Macaca mulatta: one gene and its partners. The protein of the gene in region 1 purifies or fractionates together with the protein of each later gene. This does not show direct contact. Links are inferred from orthologs where the notes say so. Each region holds a gene or a part of one and is shown on either strand. Other genes may lie near its edges.

Region 1 (4,805 bases):
AAACAAAAGAACTCAGCCAAGTGTAAAAGCCCTTTCTGATCCCAGGTCTTAGTGAGCCACCAGCGGTGCTGGGATTCGAACCCAGTGGAATCAGAACCGTGCAGGTCCCATAACCCACCTAGACCCTAGCAACTCCAGGCTAGAGGGTCACCGGGTCTGCGCGAGGCCGGGGGGGCGGGCCGTTAGCTCCGTCCGGGGGAGGGGTCCGCGCTGCTGATTGGCTGTGGCCGGCAGGTGAACCCTCAGCCAATCAGCGGTACGGGGGGCGGTCCCTCCGAGGCACACCTGGCGGCAGCAGCGCACCCCAGTCTCAGTGGCGTCGGAACTGCAAAGCACCTGTGAGCTCGCGGAAGTCAGTTCGGACTCCAGCCCGATCCAGCCCGGCCCGATCCGACCGCACCCGGCCCCTGCCCTCGCTCGGCGTCCCCGGCCAGCCATGGGCCCTTGGAGCCGCAGCCTGTCGGCGCTGCTGCTGCTGCTGCAGGTACTTCGGGTCCCCTGCCTTGCGAGGGACGCGTCCGGGCCGCACACTCTGCGCCCCAGCCCCCCGCCCCAGCCCTGCGCCCCTTCCTCTCCCGTAGTCACCGCTTCCCTTCTTCCAAGAAAGTTCGGGTCCCGAGGAGCCGAGCGGCCTGGAAGCCTCGCGCGCTCCGGACCCCGCAGTGATGGGAGTGGGGCGTGGGTGGTGAGGGGCGAGCGCGGCTTTGCTGCCCCTCCAGCGCAGACCGAGGCGGGGGCGTCTGGCTTCCGAGTCCGCGGGGTGGGCTTGGGCTGGCGCGGGGGTCGTGGAGCGGGGTGTGGGGGGTGGGGTGTGGAGAAGGGGAGCCCCGGTGCAAGTCGAGGGGGAGCCAGGAGTCGTGGGCACGATCCTCGAGGGAAGGAGAGGGGCATCCGTAGAAATAAAGGCACCTGCCATGCCAAGAAAGGTCGTAAATAGAAGTGGGAGTCCCGGGGATAAGAAAGTGGGGTCGAGGGAGGTGGGAGCGCCCCTCGCTCTAAGGAGTGGTGCATTCCCGGTCTAAGGAAAGTGGGGTTGGGGAGAATAAAGACATCTCCAATAAAATGAGAAAGGAGACCGAAAAGAACGATGGGCTAGGTCTCGAGGGGGTGACTCGGCGGCCCCCTTCCGGGAGTTCCTGGGGGCTTGGCGGCCGTAGGTTTCGGGGTGGGGGAGGGTGACGTCGCTGCCCGCCCTGCCCGAGGTTGGGGGCGGGGGTCCTCCCCCAATCCCGACGCCGGGAGCGAGGGAGGGGCGGCGTTGTTGGTTTCGGTGAGCTGGAGGGAACCCTCCGAGTCACCCGGTTCCATCTACCTTTTCCCCACCCCAGGTCTCGTCTTGGCTCTGCCAGGAGCCGGAGCCCTGCCACCCCGGCTTTGACGCCGAGAGCTACACGTTCACGGTGCCCCGGCGGCACCTGGAGAGAGGACGCGTCCTGGGCAGAGGTGAGGGCGCGCCGCCGGTGTCCCTGGGCGGAGTAGGGTGGGGTTGGAAAGGGGCCGAGAAATTGCACTCCCACACCCCTGGGTTGGAATGGGCAAGCTCTCTCCTTGGCTCAAACGACACCCCTTGGAATTTACACAGATTTGGGGATCCAAACGTTTACGACTGAGCACTGGTGGAGGGGGTAGCCCTGCCTGGTTGTTAACCATGTTATAAAAAAGCAGAGGTTGAGGGCACTTACTAGAAGCCTTCGTATTTCTCTTATTGCCCTCAGCACTGTAGAGACAGTGTCCCATTTCAGACTGCAAAAACCTGGTGGGTGGGAAGGCTCCGGCAGGAATATTCCCGTTTTACAGATGAGCAAACCGAGGCTGAGAGGGTGACGTCTACTTGCCCAGGGTCAGCAGAGCAGGTATCTGAACTGGGACCTGACTCCCAAGCCCCATTAAGCACCATCTCTGGGATGACTGAAGAGCAGCTCTCTCTTGGTTACTGGGCTGTGGCTTTTGTTTATAGATATTAAAGCTTTTTTTTTTTTTTTTTTTTTTTAAAAAAAAGGGTCTTGCTCTGTTTCCCAAGCTGGAGTGCAGTGGCACAATCACAGCTTACTGCAGCCTCCATCCTCTGGGCTCAAGTGATCCTTCCCACCTCAGTCTCCCTAGTAGCTGGTTATCACAGGCATGTGCCACCATACCTGGATAATTTTAACTTTTTTTTTTTTTGAAACGGAGTCTCGCTCTGTCGCCCAGGCTGGAGTGCAGTGGCCGGATCTCAGCTCACTGCAAACTCCGCCTCCCGGGTTTACGCCATTTTCCTGCCTCAGCCTCCCGAGTAGTTGGAACTACAGGCGCCCGCCACCTCGCCCGGCTAGTTTTTTGTAGTTTTTAGTAGAGACGGGGTTTCACCGTGTTAGCCAGGATGGTCTCGATCTCCTGACCTCGTGATCCGCACGTCTCGGCCTCCCAAAGTGCTGGGATTACAGGCTTGAGCCACTGCGCCCGGCCAATTTTAACATTTTTTTAAGGCTGGGCGCAGTGGCTCACACCTGTAATCCCAGCACTTTGGGAGGCCGAGGCGGGTGGATCACAAGGTTAGGAGTTCGAGACCAACCTGGCCAACATGATGAAACCCTGTCTCTACTAAAAAAAATACAAAAATTAGCTGGGCATGGTGGCGTGCACCTGTAATCCTAGCTACTCAGGAGGAGGCAGGAGAATTGCTTGAACCCAGGAGGTGGAGGTTGCAGTGAGCTGAGATAGTGCCACCGCACTCGAGCCTGGGTGACAGAGCAAGACTCTGTTCCAAAAAATAAACTAAAATAAATTTTTTTTAGAAACAGGAGTCTCTCCATGTTGCCCAGGCTGGTGTCGAACTCTTGGGCTCAAAGGATCCTTCTGTCTCAGCCTCCCAAAGTGCTGGGATTGCAGGCCTGAGACACTGTGCCTGAACCAAAATACCTTGTTACAGGTACTGTTTCCCCCAAGAAATAATGATTTTTTTTTTTTTGAGACAGAGTTTTAATCTTGTTGCCTAGGCTGGAGTGTTGTAATGGTGTGATCTCAGCTCACTGCCACCTCTGGCTCGCAGGGTCAAATGATTCTCCTGCCTCAGCCTCCTGAGTAGCTGGGATTACAGGTGCCCACCACCATGCCCAGCTAATTTTTTGTATTTTTAGTAGAGAAGGAGTTTCACCATGTTGGCCAGGCTGGTCTTGAACTCCTGACCTCAGGAGACCACCTGACTCAATTTCCCAAAGTGCTGGGATTACAGGCATAAGCCACCATGCCTGGCCAGGAATAATTATCTTTTTTTTAAAAAAAAGCATGGTAGTTCTGACTCAGGATGAAAATGCATACACCCAATGTACTTCTAGGCTTATCTTTGTGATAATCTAGAGTTTGCTTTGTTCCACTCCACTGTTGTCCAGGGAGCAAGGGAAGGGGCTAGTTTCTCTTCTGAATTCACTGAATCCCGAGTGCTTACTTTATATCAAACCACTTTCTCCTCTCTCATGATTTTAGTTGATTGGATATCACAATAAAAGGCATATTTTTTTTTAAGGAGAAATCACCCACAATTCCCCTGAGGGAACACCTCCATTGTGTCTATTCTTCTGGTCTTTGACCACATGAATCTTTAGCAATCATGCTGTTGTCTTTAAATTTTTTTTTGAACTTGGAAGTCATTCGAAGTTTTTTACAGAGAAACTACAGCTCGACTGATGAAGTATATTTGCTCTGTGTGCTCTAGAGCTTTCTATTGGATCAGAAGTTATCTAAAACTCCTGGGCTCAAGTGAGTCACCCACCTTGGCTTCCCAGAGTGCTGGGGATTGAATATTTTGATGTCAGTAGGCATTGAGGAGCGTTTTCTTGGGGGAGGCAAGCTTGATCTAGCCTTGGAGAGCAAGGCAGGGGCTAGAAACGAGCTTGTATCTGAGCGTGTGTCTGGCGTGGCCCAGTGCTAAGGCTGGTGATTTTGTTTTCCTGCACCAAGATACTTGGTAGCACCAAGGGTAGGTTGGTCTGGTTTTTATTTCTCCCTTCTAAGCTCCTGTGTCTGACCAATAATGTTATTACATATTAACACTAATATGATAATAATTAATAGTGACACATACTCACTTTTGCCTCAGACTCTGGGGCAAGTGCTTCACATATCTTACCTCATTTAGTCTTCACTAGAACATTAGGAGCGTGGGCAGTATTATTCTTCCTACTTTGTAAGTAAGGAAACTGAGGCATAAAGCAATTCTGTAATCTGATCCACAGTTGGTCTTTTCTCTTCCTTTTTCCCCTTGTTTTTCACCTCAATAACCTGAAAAAACAAAAACAAAAAAGGTGTTTGGGGAATTAGTGTCCAGCGTGAAGTAAGCTGAGAATGGAGGTGTTGATAGTGTGGGACCTCCGAGAGGGGGTGATGATGATGGAGACGGGTCAGACGCGGGGGAGGTGGGGGGGACCCTGGGGCTGCTGGTTTAGTGGGAAGAGGCAGCCTCCACACAGAATCCACAGGCCTCTGGTGTGGTTGGTTTCAGTTCCCTTTATGTTCACAGACCTCCACCCCCACATAACAGTTTTCCTGACATTTAATATTTGTTTTGGCTTTTTTGGACTGTGGGTCTCCTTGTATCAGTCCAATGTGGAATCGCCCCAGGATGGAAGTGCCCTTGTGGTAAAATCACACGTTCGATCTCAGGAGCTGGCTTGTGATTTTAAAAGCCAGATAAGACTTGGGATGTGGCCTGACTCTCTTTGGACAGTGCAGGGAAGTGAAGGGATGGATGTAACATAGGCACCAGATTTAGACATTGACTTTGTGAAGAATTTACTCCATGGGAATTTTGAAACTTGAAACCTGTCACT
Region 2 (4,805 bases), on another chromosome or scaffold:
CCAATCCCTTAAGGAGAGTGGTTTGAAATTCATCAAAGTGATAGAGACTCTTTGAATTTCACTTGGATTGTATTTGATAAACATTTTCCATGGAAATGTTATTGATTTCCATTCTCTCACTCTGCTTACATGTTGCAGTTTTGGCTCCCTTTTTTTGAAGATGCAAGTGATTGTTTAGAGAAGCTGTAATTGGGTTTATTAAATTTTTTACTAAATGCTCTTAGAAACAATATAATGCATTAAATGCTTTGGAGCAACACTTGGAGTGGTAATTTGCACTCTCCTTCATTAAGTGTCAGTGTGTCCAAAATATTTGGTCTGATTGGGAGGTCATTAAATAGAAAGATTACTGTACCTAAATGTTGGTTTTGTGTTTAATAGCAGAAATGCTAAACTATAGACAGAGTTTCTGTCTTTGGAGGAAGTGGTGAAGTTAGATTAGTGGTGATTTTTTTTTTTTTGAGACGGAGTCTCACTCTGTTGCCAGGCTGGACTGCAGTGGCGTGATCTTGGCTCACTGCAGTCTCCACCTCCCGGGTTCAAGCGATTCTCCTGCCTCAGCCTCCTGAGTAGCTGGGATTACAGGCACCTGCCACCACACCCACCTAATTTCTGTATTTTCAGTAGAGATGGGGTTTTACCATGTTGGCCAGAATGGTCCCGATCTCCTGACCTTGTGATCTGTCCGTCTCAGCCTCCCAAAGTGCTGGGATTACAGGCATGAGCCACCATGTAATCAGAAATCACCTGGCCGGTGATTTTTTTTTTTCCTTTTTAAGCCTACTACATAGAGTTTACATGGCAAGCCCTCAGAATAGTTCATGTCACAGGGTAAATCCTCTACATAAAGTATGAAACATCGTTTTCATTTTCTTTGTGTGCAGCAGCCCTGCATACGCTGCTTGCTATAAAGATACCCAGGGCAGAGGGTACAAAGAAGAGGCTCTATCGCTACACATTGTAGACTGAAGTTCTGACATCTCTTATGGAGAATGCCAATCGGCATCGTTCCTGGAGGGCAATTAGGTACCATACTTCTACTTTAAACATATATACCTTTTAACTCAGCGATCTCATTGCTAGACATTTTCTCTAGGGGAGTGTCGCAAATGTTTGCCAAAATACCTGTAGAGGGATGTTTTCTTCAACCAGAATGTCTAAGGGAAGATTGAATAAGTGAATTATAGCCCCTCCATCTCTTCAGTAGGGTACTATGCAGCCATTAAAATGGATGAGGTAGATCTGTAGGGCCATACCTAGAAAGGTTTTCAAGTGAAAAAGATACAATAGTGTCCATAATATAATTCCTTTTATATTCATTTACATATAGTTGTCCATATTTTATATGGACTGGTGTGTGTGTGTGTATGATTTTTTTCTATTAGAAGCACACCTATAAATCATGTGTTGGACAGCTGTTCATGGGTACAGATTTGTGTATCTACTCATAGTGGACCTATGCTGTTTCCTTAGCTAAAATGATTTATGGTTTCAGTTAGTGTGGGCACAGCCTGTCCCCCTCCGTTAAACAGTGGACTCGCACCTCCCCGCATCAGGTTCAGTTGTGGAGAGGAGGCTGGGTGCTCTGTCCTGGGCGGCAGCCTCAGCGAGGCTGGGGCTTTCCTAGAGACAAGTGTTTCATGAGGGTAGAGAATATTACTTTGTTCAGCTTCCTGAAGTGGGGAATGTTACTCTAAAAAATGGCGTACCCTTTCCTGGTTTAGGTTCATCTAGAAGAAGGCCAGGATGAATTCAAGAAAGTCTAGATGGATTTAAAAAAAAAAAAAAAATAGATGTATCTAGACAAAGGTTAAAAAATCCTTGGTAGAAGTTTGGGTCACTTTGTTTAATGAACGGGAAGGAATGCCATACTTCATTGATTCTGAAACAGGGATGAGTCTTAAAATCAATGATATGAGAAAATATTGGTTCTTAGTTTTGTTATCAACACACTTTCCATTTTATTCCTTTCTTTTCCTTAGCAATGCAAGTTTCATCTTAATGGTATCGTGTTAGATCCAGTAAAAGCAACAATTTTTAACCCAAGACCTTGTATGGTTGGCCTGCTCAGTACATTTTTTAGTTTGAATTATTAGAGTTTATATACTTCAGAAATGCTTGTGATGGGCTCCAAATCCGTTTATTCTTGTAATTGGTTTAAATGTCCCTCTTAAAATGTGTTTATGTTAGAAGTTTAATATGTTTACTCTTTCATTAGTTCATTGGTATAAACCCTGGCAAGTCTCATAATCTGTAATTAATAGAGATCAAAATATGGTCTTAACTATATTGCAGTAATCTAGTTTTCCCTTCTCTAATAAGAATTCTTACTATTTCCTGGCCTTCTCTGGAAAGGTATTTTTTGTTTGTTTTGGTTTTTGTTTTTGAGACGGAGTCTCACTCTGTTGCCCAGGCTGGAGTGCAGCGGCGTAATCTCGGCTTACTGCAACCTCTGCCTCCTGGGTTCAAGCCATCCTCCTGCCTCAGCCTCCAGATATGCACTTTAATGGCTGCATAGTTCCCATAATTCACTTATCCACTCTTCTCTTGGTTTGCTTCCACGTTGTTATTATAGATGAGTTTGAGCAAACTCTTTGTGGTGGGGTTCCTAAAAATGTATAGTGTCAGGCTTTTTCCTTTGAGGAAAAATAGTTGTGGTGTTTTGCCCAAATTCAGCTGTGTGACTGTTAGGAGCCACCCATCAGCTTCATAGGAGTCAGGGGTTTTCACCTCTAGGGACCCTTCAAATATCACAATAAGCCCATCTGTGTACCATGAAGAGGGTTATTAAATAGTTCATCTCATGCCTCAGGCTCCTCTAGAGAAGGCTTCAACCTGCTTTCCAGCACCTTCTCCTATCCCTGGGCTGTACTGGCTTCTTGGTAGATTGTCTGAATATCATCAGCATCTCCTGGAGGGAGAGGGAGAGCGGACAGTGGACTTTTGTTCTAATTTAGCCTTTCCTTTATTTGGGACACAGGGTCAGTGAAGCTAGAGGAAGAGAAGTTATTGATGCTTCTGTGATTTTCTGCCAGGCTTACAGAACAACTGTGTCTCAAAGATGGGCATGTCTCCTGTTTTTTGTTTTATTTTGTTTTATTTTTAAAGCCTGGAATGAAGATTGTTATTCTTGAGGGTGATAACAGGTTTAGTTTCTGTCTCTGTCACTAGTCACTGGTCTCTCCAATGAAATATATGTAAAGCTTTCAGCACTGTGGCTGGCACCAAGCAAACAATAAATGATAGATGCCAGCTTACAGTTGCCACCTTCTCATAGAAGGCCTCCTTCCTCATTCAGCTTTTTGCTTGTTCTCCAGAGAATCACATTTTGGAAGATGTGAACAAATGTGTCATTGCTCTCCAGGAGAAGGATGTGGATGGCCTGGACCGCACAGCTGGTGCAATTCGAGGCCGGGCAGCCCGGGTCATTCACGTAGTCACCTCAGAGATGGACAACTATGAGCCTGGAGTCTACACAGAGAAGGTTCTGGAAGCCACTAAGCTTCTCTCCAACACAGGTACGGGAACTCTAGCTTTTCAGTGCTCGCACACACTGCAACCTGAGTAGGGCAGGCCACCCGATTAGCCCAGCCCTGTGGTGAGGAAGGAGGAGTCGGGAACTCAGATTTGGTCTCATGGCACATTGGGCTCCTGAGAAGTTGGTCATAGCCAAATTCAGGCCTCACAAGCATATTTTCTTCATGTGTATCTCATGAGTAATCATGGGACTAATTCTAAACACACTATTTAAGATGAATTTCTGAGTTTAACCTCAGGTTAAACTATTAACCTGAGGTCCTATTCTTAAGCAAGGCTTCAAGTTAGTCTCACTTCCAAGTTCTCAACCATCCAATCCCTCAACCATCCAATCCCTCTGTTGCAGAGAAAAAGATGATTTGAGTTGTTGAGTTGTTGTAAAATACTGCATTTATTTCAACCATAAATACTCCTCACATAGATAGAAGCAGAGGCTCTTCATCATAAGCCTCACCTCTTTCTGTCTAGCTGAGTGATTCAGGGAGGGTCAGGGGAATGATGCTGCCTGCATACCAGGACATCTGCTGTGCCCCTTTCTCCACAGTCATGCCACGTTTTACTGAGCAAGTAGAGGCGGCCGTGGAAGCCCTCAGCTCGGACCCTGCCCAGCCAATGGATGAGAATGAGTTTATCGATGCCTCCCGCCTGGTATATGATGGTATCCGGGACATCAGGAAAGCAGTGCTGATGATAAGGGTGAGTAACTGCATTTCAGACTTAACAGCTTCTTTCTTATCATTTGCTAAACTTGAGCAATGCGTCATTCTAGAACTCGGCAGATGCGGTAGCAGTATATTAAAACCATGAATCTAAAATCTGTTAGAATGAGATATATTTAATTATGTTGTCTAAAATGACTGTTAGTTGCAAGTTAGAGCCCAAACTTGGGCCAAGAAGAGGAGCTAGCCTGAGTTGACGATTTAATTTAGGATAAACAGTCTCTACAACATGAGGCTTCAGTTTGAGTTAGGCAGGAAATTATAGAAAATAATGGTTCTCAAGCTAGTATCAGAGAAGGAAGTCTTTTCGTAATGCAGATTCAAGTTACTGTTCACATGGAGTGCCCCTCTCTTCGGAGAGGCTGCAGGCAGACAGGATGATGGAACCCCAGGGTGTTGCGGGGAGAAGTGGCCCCAGGTGATGCTCCTAGGCTCATGGCCAAGTGCTGAACCCCTTTCCCCATAGCCAGAATGCCTGGAGGGCCTGTAGCAAGGGCAGAGGAGAAACGGGCCTCTGCGGCATCTGTGGTTGAGCTCCCGGCTTACCGT
Region 3 (4,805 bases), on another chromosome or scaffold:
AAGGTACGAGCACTCTCGTTGGCCAATGGATACTGAGTCTTCTGTGAGTGGTTTGAGCTGAGTGTTGAGGAATGAGCAGGAGTTTGGTTTGTGGAGTAGGGAGGGAAGAGCCTTCCAGGTGGAGGTAACGGCAGGATCAAAGTCAGGGAGGTGCATTTGAGGAACGCTGAGTAACCTGCGGTGGCCAGATGTCCAGAGAAAGATGAGGCTTAGCCTCTCTGGCCTCAGTTTTCTCAAATGAAAGATGGGCATAGGTTGTCTGGAGGTTTTTCTGAGTGTCACACAGTAACAGGCTTGTTCCCAGGGTAGGTGCTGCTACAAAGAGCCCTGCTTCTTCCCCTTCCCCAGGGGTCCCTGGGCTGCACTGGATTCTGGAGGCTGGCTTTGCCCTCCCCCAACCGCAGTCCTGATCCCTGCCCCTCTCATGTCCCTCCCCTGAGCCAGAGAATGAAGACCATCCCCTTTCTCTCCAGCCCCTCTGAGAGTGGGTTGCAGGCGCCCATCACCATGGCAACCAAGCTGGGCTGCTTCCTGTGGGCCTGGGGCTCAGCGGGAGATGGGGAGCAGAGCATCCATGTCGAGCCGTGCATTTACGTACAGTTGTGCGGCCGTGTGCGGGTGTGCATGCTGTGTGTACGTCTGGGCGTGTGTGTGTGTGTGCATGTGGGGTGGAATTGTCTGTGTGTCGCTGTGTGGGAATGGACTGTTGTGGTTTGTCTGGTGCCCGAGGGCCTGGGGAGCGTGTACCTGTATGAGCATGTGGCCACTGGGCACGGGCATGCCTGTATGTGTATGCACATATGGCCAGGGTTGGCTTCAGTCTCAGGCCTGTGGCTTCCACATGCACCAGCCAGGCCGTCCGTAGAAAATCACGGTCGCCCAAGGCAGGTTTTGAGTCCTCGGGTGTGGGTTTGAGCCCCAGCCCTGTCTCTGGCTTGCCGGGTGACCCCAGGCTGGCCACTCACCTCTCTGGACCTCATTTCTTCTGTACGCTGGGATCATAACCTCCTCCTGAAGATTGCAAAGGGGAGGTCTGTGGGCTAGGAGGGCTGGGCTTCCCCCATGCCTATGCACTGCCTGGCCAGGCTCCTGGGAAGGTGGTTCCTGGCCGCTGGAGCCTCTGCCCTTGCCTCCAGGGCTCAGCCTTGTTCCCTGATGCCATTTGGGCGTCTCTTGGCCTCTGGTGCTACCTGGGCCTGCTGGATGGGAGGAAACTTTTCTGGCCAAAAGCTTTTCTAGGCTCAAGAGAAAGAGGGGAGGCACCAGGGCTGGCCCTGCTTGACCCAGGCAGCCTTCAGGCCACACCCAGCCAGTGGTCTCCTGCCCACGACAGCCAGCCTCTGCCAACCACCCCCTCCCGCCTGACCCTGGGCCTGTCTTCAGAAAGGAGGTGGGGGGGGGACACGGACAGTGCCCCCGTGAGCCGATCCAGAGAGGGAAAGCAGTTAGGCCAGGGCCACACAGCAACAGGGAGCCACTCACAGGCTCCCAGCAAACAGTTATTGAGTGCCTACTGTGTGCCTGGCCCTTTTATATGTGGTGGCATGGAATCTCCCCAGCAGCCCTGGGAGCACCCGCATTGTGCAGAGGAGGAAACTGAGGCCCAGAGAGAGCCAGCAACCCCTCCAAGTTCCATAGCTAGGATGCCCACCTGAGATATGGGGGTCTTGCTGGGGCCAAGGGTGCGTGGCAGGACGTTCCAATCAAGTGTCTCTTGGGTCCCTTGGCCCTACCTCTGTGGCTGCCCCGGGGCTGGCTGTTGAGAGACAGGGTGGGCCGGGGGCCCCGCCTGGGCCTCCCTTCCCTCCAATGTCAGGCAGGCACAGAACGGTGTCCAGAGCAGCGCTGAGTGCTGCGGCCTGCGGGAGAGAGGGCGTGGCGGTCACGGCTCCCCTCTGTGCCCCGCAGGTGCCTACTGCCTCTCAGTGTCCGACTTCGACAACGCCAAGGGCCTCAACGTGAAGCACTACAAGATCCGCAAGCTGGACAGCGGCGGCTTCTACATCACCTCCCGCACCCAGTTCAACAGCCTGCAGCAGCTGGTGGCCTACTACTCCAGTGAGCCAGCCTCGGAGGGCGGGGGGGGCAGAGCCTCAGCTGCAGACCCTGGGGAGGGGCTTTGGAGCCTAGAAGGGTGGGGTCTTCTGTTATCCTGTGATGCCAGGTTTCCTGCTCCCCTCCCCACTTTCTCCCTCCCCCTTCCCTTCCTCTCTCCTCCGTTTTCCCTACTTTCCTCCGTCTCCTTCTTCTTCCTCTTCTTTCCCCCGACCCGCTCCTCCCAGTCCCCGTCTCTCCCTGCTCCTGCTCTGCAGCTGGCTGGTATGGAGGGGGCTGCCCTGAGGAGCCCAAGAGTGAGCTGGAAGGGAGGGGACGGAGGCTGGTGTCGTTTGTCTATGTAGCCCTAGGACCGGTCTGAACCGGTTGCTGGGAGAGGAGGAGGGGGCGGCCAGATCGATTGCAGCAGAGACGGAGAGAGCGGCAGAGGGAGCTCGCGGGGCTTGCGTGCTGGGTGAGGGCTCGGGCGTGGGCGCAGTGCTGTAGCCCACCCACCTGGGCGTCTGGAGCTGACTGCAGTGTCGGGGCCTGTGGGTGCCTATGGGTGCCTGTGTGCCCATGTGTCTGTGGCACGCGTGGCCTCTGTGTGCAGGTGTTCGTCCACTTCCCACCCCAAGTCTCCTCCTCCTCTCAGCTCGGCCTCCTGACTTCCTCTGGGATCACCCACCATGCTCTTGTCTCTTTGGCCACCGCTGTGTGGCTCATGCTGAACCCCGTTCCCTCAGATCAGAACTCTCCAGGGGCTGTCTTGGAATCTTGGGATAAAGACCCCCACCAGCCCCCGAGTGGTCTAATCCCAGCTGCCTCCCCACCTCCGCCTGGTGCCGCCCTTCCCCACCTGCTCCCTGCAGCTCCTTTTGCCTCTGCTTCTTCAGCCCTGCAGCTATTCTTTCCTCAGAGCCTTTGCTCTGGCTGTGCCCCTGCCTGGAGGGCTCTTCCCTGCTTAACCCCTCACCCTCCTGCACATCCAAGCTCAGTTGCTGCTTCCTCCAGGAAGCCTCCCAGGACCCTCCTGCTGTTGCGCGAACAGCTCTCCTCCAGTCACATTCATGTCTGTGGTCCTGGGAGGTGATTAGGGAATTGAGGCTCCTCCCTGGACTCCGAGTTCCTGAGGGTAGATTCCCTGGACTTGTTCCCCGCAGGGTCCCTGGCACCCCCTACTGTCTGCTGAATGACTGACTCAGCAGATGCATAAAGCATTGTGGGCCTGTGTGGGGGTGGGACTGTGTGCACATAGATGTAGATGCCTGGCTTTGAGGGTGCCCTGGGTGTCTCCTGAAATCTGCGTGCATCTGGCATGTAGGGTGACACACACTGAGGGGCAGGGAGGCCCCAGGGCAGAAGCCCCCCCTAACTGCTCCTCTTGCCTCCTCCTCAGAACACGCCGATGGCCTGTGCCACCGCCTCACCACTGTGTGCCCCACATCCAAGCCTCAGACTCAGGGCCTCGCCAAGGATGCCTGGGAGATCCCTCGGGAGTCGCTGCGGCTGGAGGTCAAGCTGGGCCAGGGCTGCTTTGGCGAGGTGTGGATGGGTAAGGCCTGGCCCCTGCCCTCGGGAGAGGCATCCATCCCCCACCCCGTGTGGCAGCTCTGGGCTCTGTTGGTCCCTTTGCCTTTAGCTGCCTCTGCTGGACGACGGGGCCCTGTTGTAAATCTGGAGCCCCCCAGCGGTGGCTGGCACCGAGTTGGGATGTGGCCCCCCAAGTGCTGTGCCCCAGACCGTGTAAACCATAGCACCTGATTCCAAGATCCGCACAGGGCTGGGCATTGCACAGACCTGCTGTGTAGGCTGGGCCCGGTGGCCTCACTCGGAGTCTCAGTCTTCCTGACTATGAATGGGGCTGGTGACAGTGGGACCTATGGGAGGCTGTGGAGGCCCTGGCCCAGTGCATTGTCCACACACCAGCTGTTAGCCATGGAGAGAGAAGCCTGGCTCGTGGGAGGAGGTGCTGGGAAGCTTAGTTCTGGCATGGTCTGAGCCTGTTAGTGATTTCCTGTCTAACCCTGGAGAAACAGCAAAGCATAAGAACCGTGCAGCCCTGACAAAACCCAGGCCCCTTGTCCACCGGTTGCTTTCTGCTCACACAGAGGGACCAGAGGCCAGGGTGGAGGTGGGACAGCACTTGTAAGCCCGTAAGCCCATGGTGCTAGCGGGGATCACGGTGTGCTGTTTTCAAGGTGGTTTCATCTGAGCCGCATCTCCGCTCAGTCCCACTGCCTCCACTCTCCACCCTCCAGAGTCCTGATGGAGGACAGCAGAGAGGCCTCCTGGGTGGAAGGCACTGCAGGGACAGAGGCCTGGAGGCTGGAGGTCAGGCCGTCTGGAAGGGGGAGGCGTGGGCTTTGAGCTGGTGAGAGGGGAGAGGGGTGAGAAGCCAGGGTGTGAGCACAGCCACAAAGTGAGGACTTGAGCGAAACCTGGGTGAATGCACAGCGTCAGCCATTCTGGTGGCTGCAAAACTCATTTCTGGCTTCGGTGAGTGGTGATGACCCTGGGAAGGGCCTCACTTCCTCCCTGGGTGCTCCAGGTCGACTCATGAAGTGCCACATGCAGATGGCTTGAGCCAGGAGGACCACAGAGGTGGGCCTGAGCCCTAACCCTCGGAGAGAGGCCCAGTGACTGGGAGGAATGGGCCCAAGGTCACACAGCAAAGGAACCTTGAGTCCTGCTGGCACAAGAACCTGGATTAAACATGCTGGTCTAGAATACAGCTTCCCCCAGAGCCCCCAGTTAGAAAAGCAGATAGT
Region 4 (4,805 bases), on another chromosome or scaffold:
TCATTGTATCCTTAAAACCTAGAATAGACCTCAGTGTATAGTACAGATTTTATAAATATGGGAGTGGATGAATGTATCAACTTTATGCTAGTTCCTGAAAATACAAAAATTGTTAAAAAAAAAAAAAAGGGGGGGGGTTCTCAAGAGCTTCTGGGAGTCCAGAGAGATGAGTAAGTAAATAATGAAATTATGGTACATAAGTGGCCTGTCCTTGTTGATGTCATGGGAGGCTTTCTGTAGGAACTGGGGCTTCCATTTGATTTTAAATGAATAGTAGTTGGAGGCAAGCAAGCATGTGCAGAGGCATTGAGATACGACACTGAATGACTCATTGTAAGAATTACAGGTAGCTCCAAATGGCTGGAACACATTTCTAGATAACGAACCTAGAAAAACTAGTTGGGACCTGGCTAAAAGCCTTTAACTTTGTATTAAGCATTGTGGACTTTAGCCTAAATACCTGGAGTGTACCACTGAAGAATTCCAACTGAGAGAAAGACATGATGGTTTAAAAAGACTGCCCGGGGCAGCAGGTGTTTGTCACACTCCTCGGTGCTTTTCTCCCTCATATCCTCAAACCCCTTACACAGGGCCTGGTACAAAGGACATGCTCAGTAAAGACTGGCACCTTTAAATGCTAGTGGGAGGAGAGAATATCACCACAGTTGTTGTAGAAGATCCATCAGAGGTGGAAAGCCGAGGAAGGCAGTCATTGAACTCATCTGACCATTTTTTAGGATTTCTTCATCGTGCATTTATTTCCTTCTTGGCAATTGTTATATTATCCTGACCTTGTGGGATTGTTCTGTGTATTCATATGTAAGAGTTTCATACTTGTTGAATATTTAGAGATTGCTTCTATGAAAGAAAACTGCTTTTCCTGCATCCACCTTTCTCCTGTTCTAGACACAGCAGCCAGAGTGATCCTTTTTGAACTTACCTGAGAGCCTGTCACTCCTGTGCTCAGAATCTTCTAGTGGCACTTCATCGAATTCAGTGTCAAAGGCAAAGGCCTTTATCATGACATAGGAAGCCTGCATGACCTGGCTGCTCTCTGATTTCTACCCACCCACCTTGCTCACTCTACTGCTCTACACTGGCCTCCTGGCTATGCCTCAAAACACACATGCTGTTCCTTGCATCCAGAACACATCCCAGATACTCACAGGGCTCACTCCCTCACTTTGTTGAAGGCTTTGCTTAGTGATCATCATCTCAGTACGGCCTTCTCTGACCACCGTGTTCAAACTTAATAACATCTGCCCTGAACTCTCTGTTCTCTTCCTTGCCCTGTTTAATTTTTCTGCACAGCACAGATCAATTTTACTATATCATATAATGTAATTATTTTTTGATGTGTGATTGTCTGTTCCCCATTACTGGAATGAAGTCCCATGAAGATAGTGTTTTGGGTCTGATTTACTACTCCTTCCCAACACCTAAAATGATACCTGGCACCATAGTAGGAGCTCAGTAAATATTTGTTGAATTAAGAAATGACAGCACCCTTTTGTATTGCTCTTTTAGGTAAACTGCTTTTTGTAAACCTGAAAGAAAGTATAGTCTGTTCTCATGCTGCTAATAAAGACATACCCAAGACTGGGTAATTCATAAAAGAAAGAAGTTTAATTGACTCACAGTTCAGCCTGGTTGAGGAGGCCTCAGGAAACTTACAAGCATGGCGGAAGGGGAAGCAAACATGTCCTTCTGCACATGGCAGCATCAGGAAGTGCAGAGTGAAGGGGTTGGGAAAGCCCCTTATAAAACCATAAGATCTTGTGAGAACTCACTTATCACCAGAACAGCATCAAATTACAGGGGCGGTTATCACCGGGTAATCGTCCCCATAATTTGATTACCTCCCACTGGGTCCCTCCCGCAACACATGGAGATTATGGGAACTACAATTCAAGATGAGATTTGGGTGGGGACACAGCCAAACCATATCAGAAAGGGAAGAAGATTTATTTGCCTTTTAAATAAGGTCACCACTGAATCCACATCAGAGAGAAACAAGGCCTTCCTTTGCACCCAGAAGCACCACAATATCTTATTGATGTCAATGAATTGACAACATCATTGAATGACATTTGAGAGGGTGGGACTTGCTCTGCACCACTGTTCATGCCCCAGCCTCTGATTGGCTGGCTAGAGCTGAAGAGAAGAAGAATAGGAAAAGTGTTGTTGGTTTTCTCTTTTTCATTTGCTGAGAGAGTGTGGTGGTCACTTCAGGGTACATAGACGATGGAATGGGGAATTTAGCACGAATGAAATTACTCATCACCACGATTATTTTTCTGTTCAACAAAGTTTTCAGACAAAAATAATTGTGAGGATGAGTAATTTCATTTGTGCTAAATTCCCCATTTAAGCTAAATGTTGTATATTTTTTATGTGATTGGAAAGACTCAGTAGACTTGGTAGGGTAAAAGAATGGTGATGGCAAACACTTGTTTTCCCTCCAAAGGTGTTTCATGGGACTCCCTTCCGGATGAGCTGCTCTTGGGGATCTTTTCCTGTCTGTGCCTCCCTGAGCTACTAAAGGTCTCTGGTGTTTGTAAGAGGTGGTATCGCCTAGCGTAAGTATTTTTCACCCCTTTGGCATACGTAGGGGAGGAAGAGGAGAGGAAAGTTATTTATTTGTTTTGGTCTCATGAAACTAAAACCCAAGAAAAATAGAGCAGCACAAAGCAAACTAGGTATCTTCATATTTTTATTAATAAGTGTCCTCATTTCACAGTGGAAGAGGAATTTCCTGGAAGGGGTAAACTTACCAATGTCTGGAAACCTCTTTGCCCTGTATTCAGTGCAGCATGTGTTTATTGGATGCTGACTGTAGGCCAGGCGGTGTGCTTTAAGTGCAGAGGGAGTTACAGAGGTGCATGCAGACAGCGATTCCTCACGCTGTTGGGCTGAGCAGTAAGCACAATGGGGAGAGGGAACGCAGACTTGGTGTTAGACCCGAGTGCACACCCAGCCTCTGCTGCTTACGCTCTGCATGACCTGAGCGAGTTACTTGACAATGCTGAGCTTCAGTCTGCCCATATGTAAATGGGGATAATGGTTATGAGGAGGAAACCATTGGTTATGAGGATGAAATGTGAAGATGCCGGTGTAATGCCTGACTCACAGACATGTTCCGCACAGAGTAGCCATTGGTGGGGTTGTGCCTTTTTTTGTGGCAACACTTTTGAAGTGTGGAAGGTGAGTTGCATGTGGAAAGACTTGGTGAGCTGGAAAGGCAATACAGGCCTGGAGCAAGAAAAAGGCTATGTTTATGAACTGGAACTTTTTACTATCGTCATGCCTTCTCATCCCTATCCTACCCCCTGGTCATTCTTTGCTTTGTGTTTAAAGGCCATCCGTCTGGCTTCTCCCTCCACATACTTAGAACTCCCTGTGTGAGATAGCAGGAGGCTCTTGCCATCAAGGGTGTGCTGGTATTTACAGGTGTGGGTTGTTTGCTTAGAAGAGCCGCAGAGAGGTTTGCACACCTGGAATGCTGGTGCAAGTGGCAGGCAAGTTTCATGTACCCTCACCGTGCTCAAGGAACCCCACTTTGGTTTTCTTTTTCTGCCAGCTATGCATTTGTCCTCTTCTTGCAGAGTCTGTTAATCCCATTTAAAAATTTTATTGTATATATTTAAGGTATACAGCATATTTTGTTATATGTATGTGAAATGGCTACTATAATCAAGTACATTAACATATTCATTATCTCACATAGTTACCCCTTTTTTTTGTGGCAAAAGCACCTAAAATTTACTCTTATAGCAAAAATTCTGACTACAATACAGTATTATCAACTCTAGTCTTCCTGTTGTACACTATATCTTGGGTTGTGTTCATCCTGCATATCTGTGGCTTAGTATTCTTTGATCTACATCTCCCCTAGAGTCTGTTAAACTTTTCATCTCAGTTGTCATAAAAATAATAACTGACATTTATTAAGCACTTGCTATGTGACAGTGCAGTGTTTGCAGTTTAATCCTCTATATGATTTTAAGTGATGGTGTTTGTGTCATCTCAGCTTCAGAGATGAAGAAACTGCAGGGTCAGGAATAGTAGGTTGAGAGATAAGTGGAAAGGCAGGAAACTAAAGTCTGGCTAACTCCACAGTCATTACCATCATACCATATCTGGTTATGCTTGGCTTGGGGTTTAGGTAGCTCCCGAATTCATTTTTTCTGTGAGATGTTCATCTTCCTAAAAAATGTATATGATTTGTAAAGAAAACGAATTGTTCCAAAACTTTTCCCAGATTGTTATTGAATGCTGGTTAAGCTATGGTTTGCCTTCTTGCAAGAGGAAACATCAAGCATGAGATTCAAGACAACCAGAGCAGTGCTGATCTCGTGTTAATACCTTGGAGGCCAAAATGGATTTCTGTCTGGTCAAGAAGATACAAAAGTGTGCCACTCTCTTAAGGATATCTTATCTACAGTCCACCTTTTTATTGATAGAGGTCAAATCACACACTGACAATTTTTTTATGATGAAATTATTTCATAACTCTGGCCAGTGGTCCACTTATTTCAAGCACTATTAGAAAATTCTAGTACACCTAAGCATTTAAAATGTTCCTTCATGTGCTTGTCATTTTATTTTTTTAAATTGAATTCAACTATGGGTATTAAAACCCTCTTATTGTGGTATTCAGTACCTTTTTTGAACGTCCCTTTTGTTTTAGAAACACCATCTATAATCTAAGTTATATTTTTCCCTTATTTCTCATTAGTTCATACACACACATATATACACATACATATACATATGTGTATATTTTAAGCTTAAAGATATTATAA
Region 5 (4,805 bases), on another chromosome or scaffold:
GTTTTTAGAACGATCACTGTGAGGAGATTGGATTGTAGGTGGCCACTGCAGGGGGAGGCAGGAGAGCAGCTGAGGCTGTTGCCCTTGTCCATGCAGGAGTTAGCAGTGGCTTGCCTGAGGGTGGTAGCACAGTAGTGGTCACATTCAGGCTATGTTTAGGAAGTAGGCTCTTCATGCCTTCATGATGGACTGAATAAAGTCTGTGAGAGAAAGAGAAGAGGCAAAGATGACTCCTCAGGGCTCGAGCACCTGAGTGGATAGCATTCATATTGTTGAGATGGGAAGAGCCGGTTTGGGGTGGAGGAGAATCATGAGATCTTGTTTTGCCATCTTACATTTGAGATATGAGTATGTCAGAGAGTGTGATCTGAAGCTTGGTGGGGAGAGAGGATGGAAGAGACCCACTGGGCATAATATATGTTATTCGAGACCATGGGATTAGATGAAATCCCCTCGGAAGAGAGTACAGACAGAAGACCGATGTTCTGAGCCTTTGGGTGGTCAAAGCAGTGTTTAGAGGGGAGAGAGGTGAAGCCAGCAAGGAGACTGAAAAGGACTGAGAAGGTGGGAGAAACCCCAGGAGAATGCAGGGTCACAGAAGTCTTAAAGGACAAAAGCTGACTGGAGTAGGTGGAAGATAAAATACGGGGTGAAGACAGGGAGTCAGTTAGGCAAATCTTCCAGGTAGTTTTGTTGCAAAGTGGCGTTGAGACATTAGCTGGTAACTGGAGAGGATGTGGGTTTGAGGGAGGGTTTTCCTTTCTTTTTTTTAGTGGAAGATTGTACAGCATGTTTTGTTTTGATGGGAATGATCCCATGGAGAGGGAGAAGTCGATGCTGCAGGAAAGAGAGTGGGCAGTTGCTGGAGCAGTGTTTTTAAGAAGGTAAGAGGGATGGGATCCATGGCTCGCATCTCACTGGCCTCACCCAGGGGCAGGGCCCATCATTCATTTGACAGGAGGAAGGGCTGCAAGTGTTCCAAAGTACCAGGTACAACCTTGGACTGGGTGTGTGAGGCCATGTGTGGGACTGTGGAGGCTGGAGCACAGCCTTCCACACCTTTGCTGACTCTTCCATGGTAACTTGTCTGTGAGGTCCCTAATGATTTTCCTACAGTGAGCTCCCATGCCCCCAGGGCCTTGGATCTTCCAGGCCTAGGGAAAGCAATGTGTGACAGTGTTCCCTACCCTCAAAGGCAGGGCCCTGTGGCAGATGATTGTACTTTGGACCTCCTTCTGTAACAATTTTTTGAGAGACTTAAGGGTTTTGGGAGTAATTGTTCTCTCCCTCATCCCCCGCCCCCCACATAAAAAAATGTTTTCCTGACAAATGTTTGTCTGATTTCTTAGCTTTGCCGTGAGCATTTCTGAATGTTTGATTTTTGTGTTGAGGGCAGGAGCCTCCTGTAACTGGCTCATAGAGTGAGAGGGACAAAGCATTGACACAGCTGATTTTATTTTTCCTAATGGATCCTTGCACAGGAAAGTTGTGTGAGTTTTTACAGGATGTATTCAGTTGTTCCTCATATTTAGCAGATTAAAAAATTTTAATTTTTGAAAAAATTGTAAGAAACAGAATCTTCCTCTGTCTCCTAGTCTGGAATACAGTGGTGCAGTCATAGCTCACTGCAGCCTTGAACTCCTGGGGCCAAGTGATCCTCTCACTTCAGCCTCCCAAGTAGCTGGAACTACAGATGCAGGCCACCATGACTGGCCAGCAAATGTTTTAATACTCTCCAGAGTCCATTTCTTTTCTTTCTTTCTGTCTTTTTTTTTTTTTTTTTTTTTTTTAAAGACAGCATTGCTCTGTCACCCAGGCTGTAGTGCAGTGGCATGATCTCAGCTCACTGCAACCTCTGCCTCTTGGGTTCAAGTGAGTCTCATGCCTCGGCCACCCCCAAAGTAGCTGGGACTACAGGTGTGCACCACCATGACTGGCTAATTTTTGCATTTTTAGTAGAGACGGGGTTTCACCATGTTGGCCAGGCTAGTCTCAAACTCCTGACCTCAAGTGATCCGCCTGCCTCAGCCTCCCAAAGTGCTGGGATTATAGGCATGAGTCACTGCACCTAGCCTCAGAATCCCTTTCTTGAAGCAGAAAAGCTTGAGCTTAGGCAGGTGAATTTTAGTTTTGATTTCTGTACTTTTTGTTCAGTTTTGCATTAATGAGGGACAAAATATATAAGAAATCTACTGCTGATTCTCCCAGTTCTAGACTAAAGGATGTTGATAGCCCCTTTAAAAAGATTTTTTTGGCTGGGTATAGTGGCTCATGCCTGCAGTTCCAGCACTTTGGGAGGCAGAGGCAAGGGGATCACTTGAGGCCAGGAGTTTAGGATCAGCCTGGGCAACACAGAGAGACCTCATCTGTACAAAAAATGAAAAAATTAACGGTGGTATGCTCGTGTAATCCTAGCAACTTGAGAGGCTTAAGTGTGAGGATTGCTTGAGCCCAGAAGTCTGAGGTTACCATGAGCTATGATTGTGATACTGTACTCCAGCCTGGATGACAGAGTGAGACCCTGTCTCTAAATAAATAAGTAAATAAATGACTTTTTGTACTCCAGCACTTCTCTACTATGAATCCCTCAGCTGGGTAGCAAGGTATAATAGTAATTTTGATAATAGTGTCATTAACAGAAGTAGCAATAATAGTAGTGATAATTATGTAACAGCCTAATCTTTTTGAGTCTTTGAAAAATGGTAGGAACTGTTCTGTAACTATCATTGATTTAATTCTCACAATAGTTTGATGAGGTAGCAACTATTACTAGTTCCGTTTTACAGACATAGAATCTTGCAGTAATCCTGGACATTCCTAGAGCAGATGGTTTTTTCCTTGTGTCTTTTCTTATTTGATCTTTGTAACAGCCCCTGGAGGCAGGAGGGGAGGAATCATCCCCATTCTTCAGATGATGAAACTCAGGTCCATGAAGGTTCAGTGATTTTGCTGAAGTGTTTGAGCTGAGACTAGAATATAAGTCTTCAGTCCCTCGTGTGATAGCCACAGTAGTAGTGGTGGCTCCCACCCCAGGCCATGCATCTTGAAGGAGATGGATGCCCATATGCCATTGCTCTGAGTTAGGCTTCCCCAAGGCTCATGGGGCCAGACCCCATCTTTGCTTTTTCTGGGGACTGAGGTACTTTGGAAGGGCAGTATCCCTTGCTCTCCTATGCTGATTAGTGGTGGTACATGTCTCTGATTAGTAAGAAATTGAAGACATTGATTATTAGTAAATACAATTTGGCAGACACAGCTTTTTAAAACATGGGACCTATGAGGGAGAAGTTTCTAGAAGAGAACATGGGAGTTAGAGTATTACACTGGGCTGCTCTTCAGTGGTTTCATGGAACCTTGTGAACTGTGTTCCCCCTACAGCAGATGTTCAGTAGGTCGTGAGGCAATGAGGAGATGTCAGAGAAGAGGGGCTCAGCCACCTTGCCTGTGCCAAGGCTGTTCCTTGAAGGCAGGCATCTTATTCCCCACTTCTGAGACTTAGGCACCCAGCGCAGGGCTGGGAGCTGAGTAGGCACTTGATATATCTTGAGCAAGCAGTGTTTTAAAGAGACCCAATGAGTTTTCTAGGTATTACAGGTCTTGGAAAACTCCTTACTGGGAAGGAGATTGGGGTGGAGGAGAATGAGTAAGGTGAAAGAAGCTCAACAGCCACAAACAGGCCTGTCAAGGCTGGTGCCTAGACCCAGGCTTCTTGGATACAGTCAGTTGCTGTTGAGAACAATGCTCAAAGCTGGCCAGTGGAGGCTCAGTGGCCTCCTTTGCGTCTTCATCTCATATCCTTATTGCTCTGCATCTGGGACTGGGACCTATTGGCTACTGGACTAGGCTATCTTCCTTCTCTGGCTGCTGGGCCCTTGGCATCCTCTGTGACTTGGCACAAGGGTACTGGCAGGAACCAGCTAATTGCTGCACAAGACCCTTTCTAGCTTCAAGTTTCTCAGTTTTAGCTTTGGGGTTGTGTGGAGCCACCTTGTGTAGGTACTGTCTCTTTGTGGGTACCTGTCCCTAAGTGAGGACAGCTAGACTCTGGGAAAGTCACTTTTGAGGCTTGCAGTAAGGCTAACTTTCCCCTCCCCTAGGACCTGAAGCACGTCCTAGCGACAGGACTGGCTACATAATTTGCAGAGCCTAAGTGTAAAATGAAAATGCAAGGCTCCTTATTCAAAAAGAAGGAAAAAGTATTAGCTTGGTGCAAATGTAATTGTGGTTAGTGCCATTACTTTTGATGGTAAAAACTGCAATTACTTTTGCACCAACTGAATATCTTTAGGCCGGGTGTGGTGGTTCACACCGGTAATCCCAGCACTTTGGCCAAAGTAGGAGGATTGCTTGAGCTCAGGAGTTTGAGACTAGCCTGGGCAACATGGTAAAACCCCATCTTTACAAAAAATACAAAACTTAGCCGGTGTGATGGCGCATGGCTATAGTCCCAGCTACTAGGGAGGCTGAGGTGGGAGGATCACTTGAGCCTGGGAAGCGGAGGTTGCCGTGAACTGAGCTCATGCCACTGCACTCCAGCCTGGGTGACAGAATGAGACTCTGTCTCAAAAAAATAAAAAATAAAAAATAAATCATCTTTAAAGATACTAAAATATAAAATTTTGTTATTCTGTAGTTTTTCCCTTGACGTCATTTTTTTAAAAAATTGCTATTTATGGGCATGGTGGTGGGCACCTGTAATCCCAGCTACTTGGGAGGCTGAGCCAGGAGGAACACTTGAACCCAGGAGGTGGAGGTTGCAGTGAGCCAAGATTGCGCCATTGCACTCCAGCCTAGGCAACAAGAGT

What was found. Proteins that work in one complex are often made in the same cells at the same time.
Region 2: the proteins of CDH1 (region 1) and CTNNA1 purify together in Homo sapiens (affinity purification with western blotting; 10 studies listed by BioGRID and IntAct, with this or other methods). This does not show direct contact. The link is inferred for Macaca mulatta from reciprocal best matches to the Homo sapiens genes CDH1 and CTNNA1.
Region 3: the proteins of CDH1 (region 1) and SRC purify together in Homo sapiens (affinity purification with western blotting; 5 studies listed by BioGRID and IntAct, with this or other methods). This does not show direct contact. The link is inferred for Macaca mulatta from reciprocal best matches to the Homo sapiens genes CDH1 and SRC.
Region 4: the proteins of CDH1 (region 1) and SKP2 purify together in Homo sapiens (affinity purification with western blotting; 3 studies listed by BioGRID and IntAct, with this or other methods). This does not show direct contact. The link is inferred for Macaca mulatta from reciprocal best matches to the Homo sapiens genes CDH1 and SKP2.
Region 5: the proteins of CDH1 (region 1) and PLEKHA7 purify together in Homo sapiens (co-immunoprecipitation; 3 studies listed by BioGRID and IntAct, with this or other methods). This does not show direct contact. The link is inferred for Macaca mulatta from reciprocal best matches to the Homo sapiens genes CDH1 and PLEKHA7.

The regions. Positions count from the first base shown.
Region 1 is NC_133425.1:64,333,427-64,338,231, forward strand, and holds part of CDH1 (cadherin-1), read left to right. Parts: intron 1-234; 5' UTR 235-436; coding exon 437-484; intron 485-1,328; coding exon 1,329-1,443; intron 1,444-4,805.
Region 2 is NC_133411.1:147,787,733-147,792,537, forward strand, and holds part of CTNNA1 (catenin alpha-1), read left to right. Parts: intron 1-3,317; coding exon 3,318-3,518; intron 3,519-4,081; coding exon 4,082-4,233; intron 4,234-4,805. UniProt on the Homo sapiens protein: Associates with the cytoplasmic domain of a variety of cadherins. The association of catenins to cadherins produces a complex which is linked to the actin filament network, and which seems to be of primary importance for cadherins cell-adhesion properties.
Region 3 is NC_133415.1:90,252,097-90,256,901, forward strand, and holds part of SRC (proto-oncogene tyrosine-protein kinase Src), read left to right. Parts: coding exon 1-3; intron 4-1,908; coding exon 1,909-2,058; intron 2,059-3,433; coding exon 3,434-3,589; intron 3,590-4,805. UniProt on the Homo sapiens protein: Non-receptor protein tyrosine kinase which is activated following engagement of many different classes of cellular receptors including immune response receptors, integrins and other adhesion receptors, receptor protein tyrosine kinases, G protein-coupled receptors as well as cytokine receptors.
Region 4 is NC_133411.1:37,236,992-37,241,796, forward strand, and holds part of SKP2 (S-phase kinase-associated protein 2), read left to right. Parts: intron 1-2,467; coding exon 2,468-2,579; intron 2,580-4,805. UniProt on the Homo sapiens protein: Substrate recognition component of a SCF (SKP1-CUL1-F-box protein) E3 ubiquitin-protein ligase complex which mediates the ubiquitination and subsequent proteasomal degradation of target proteins involved in cell cycle progression, signal transduction and transcription.
Region 5 is NC_133419.1:48,436,505-48,441,309, forward strand, and holds part of PLEKHA7 (pleckstrin homology domain-containing family A member 7), read left to right. Parts: intron 1-773; coding exon 774-884; intron 885-4,805. UniProt on the Homo sapiens protein: Required for zonula adherens biogenesis and maintenance. Acts via its interaction with CAMSAP3, which anchors microtubules at their minus-ends to zonula adherens, leading to the recruitment of KIFC3 kinesin to the junctional site.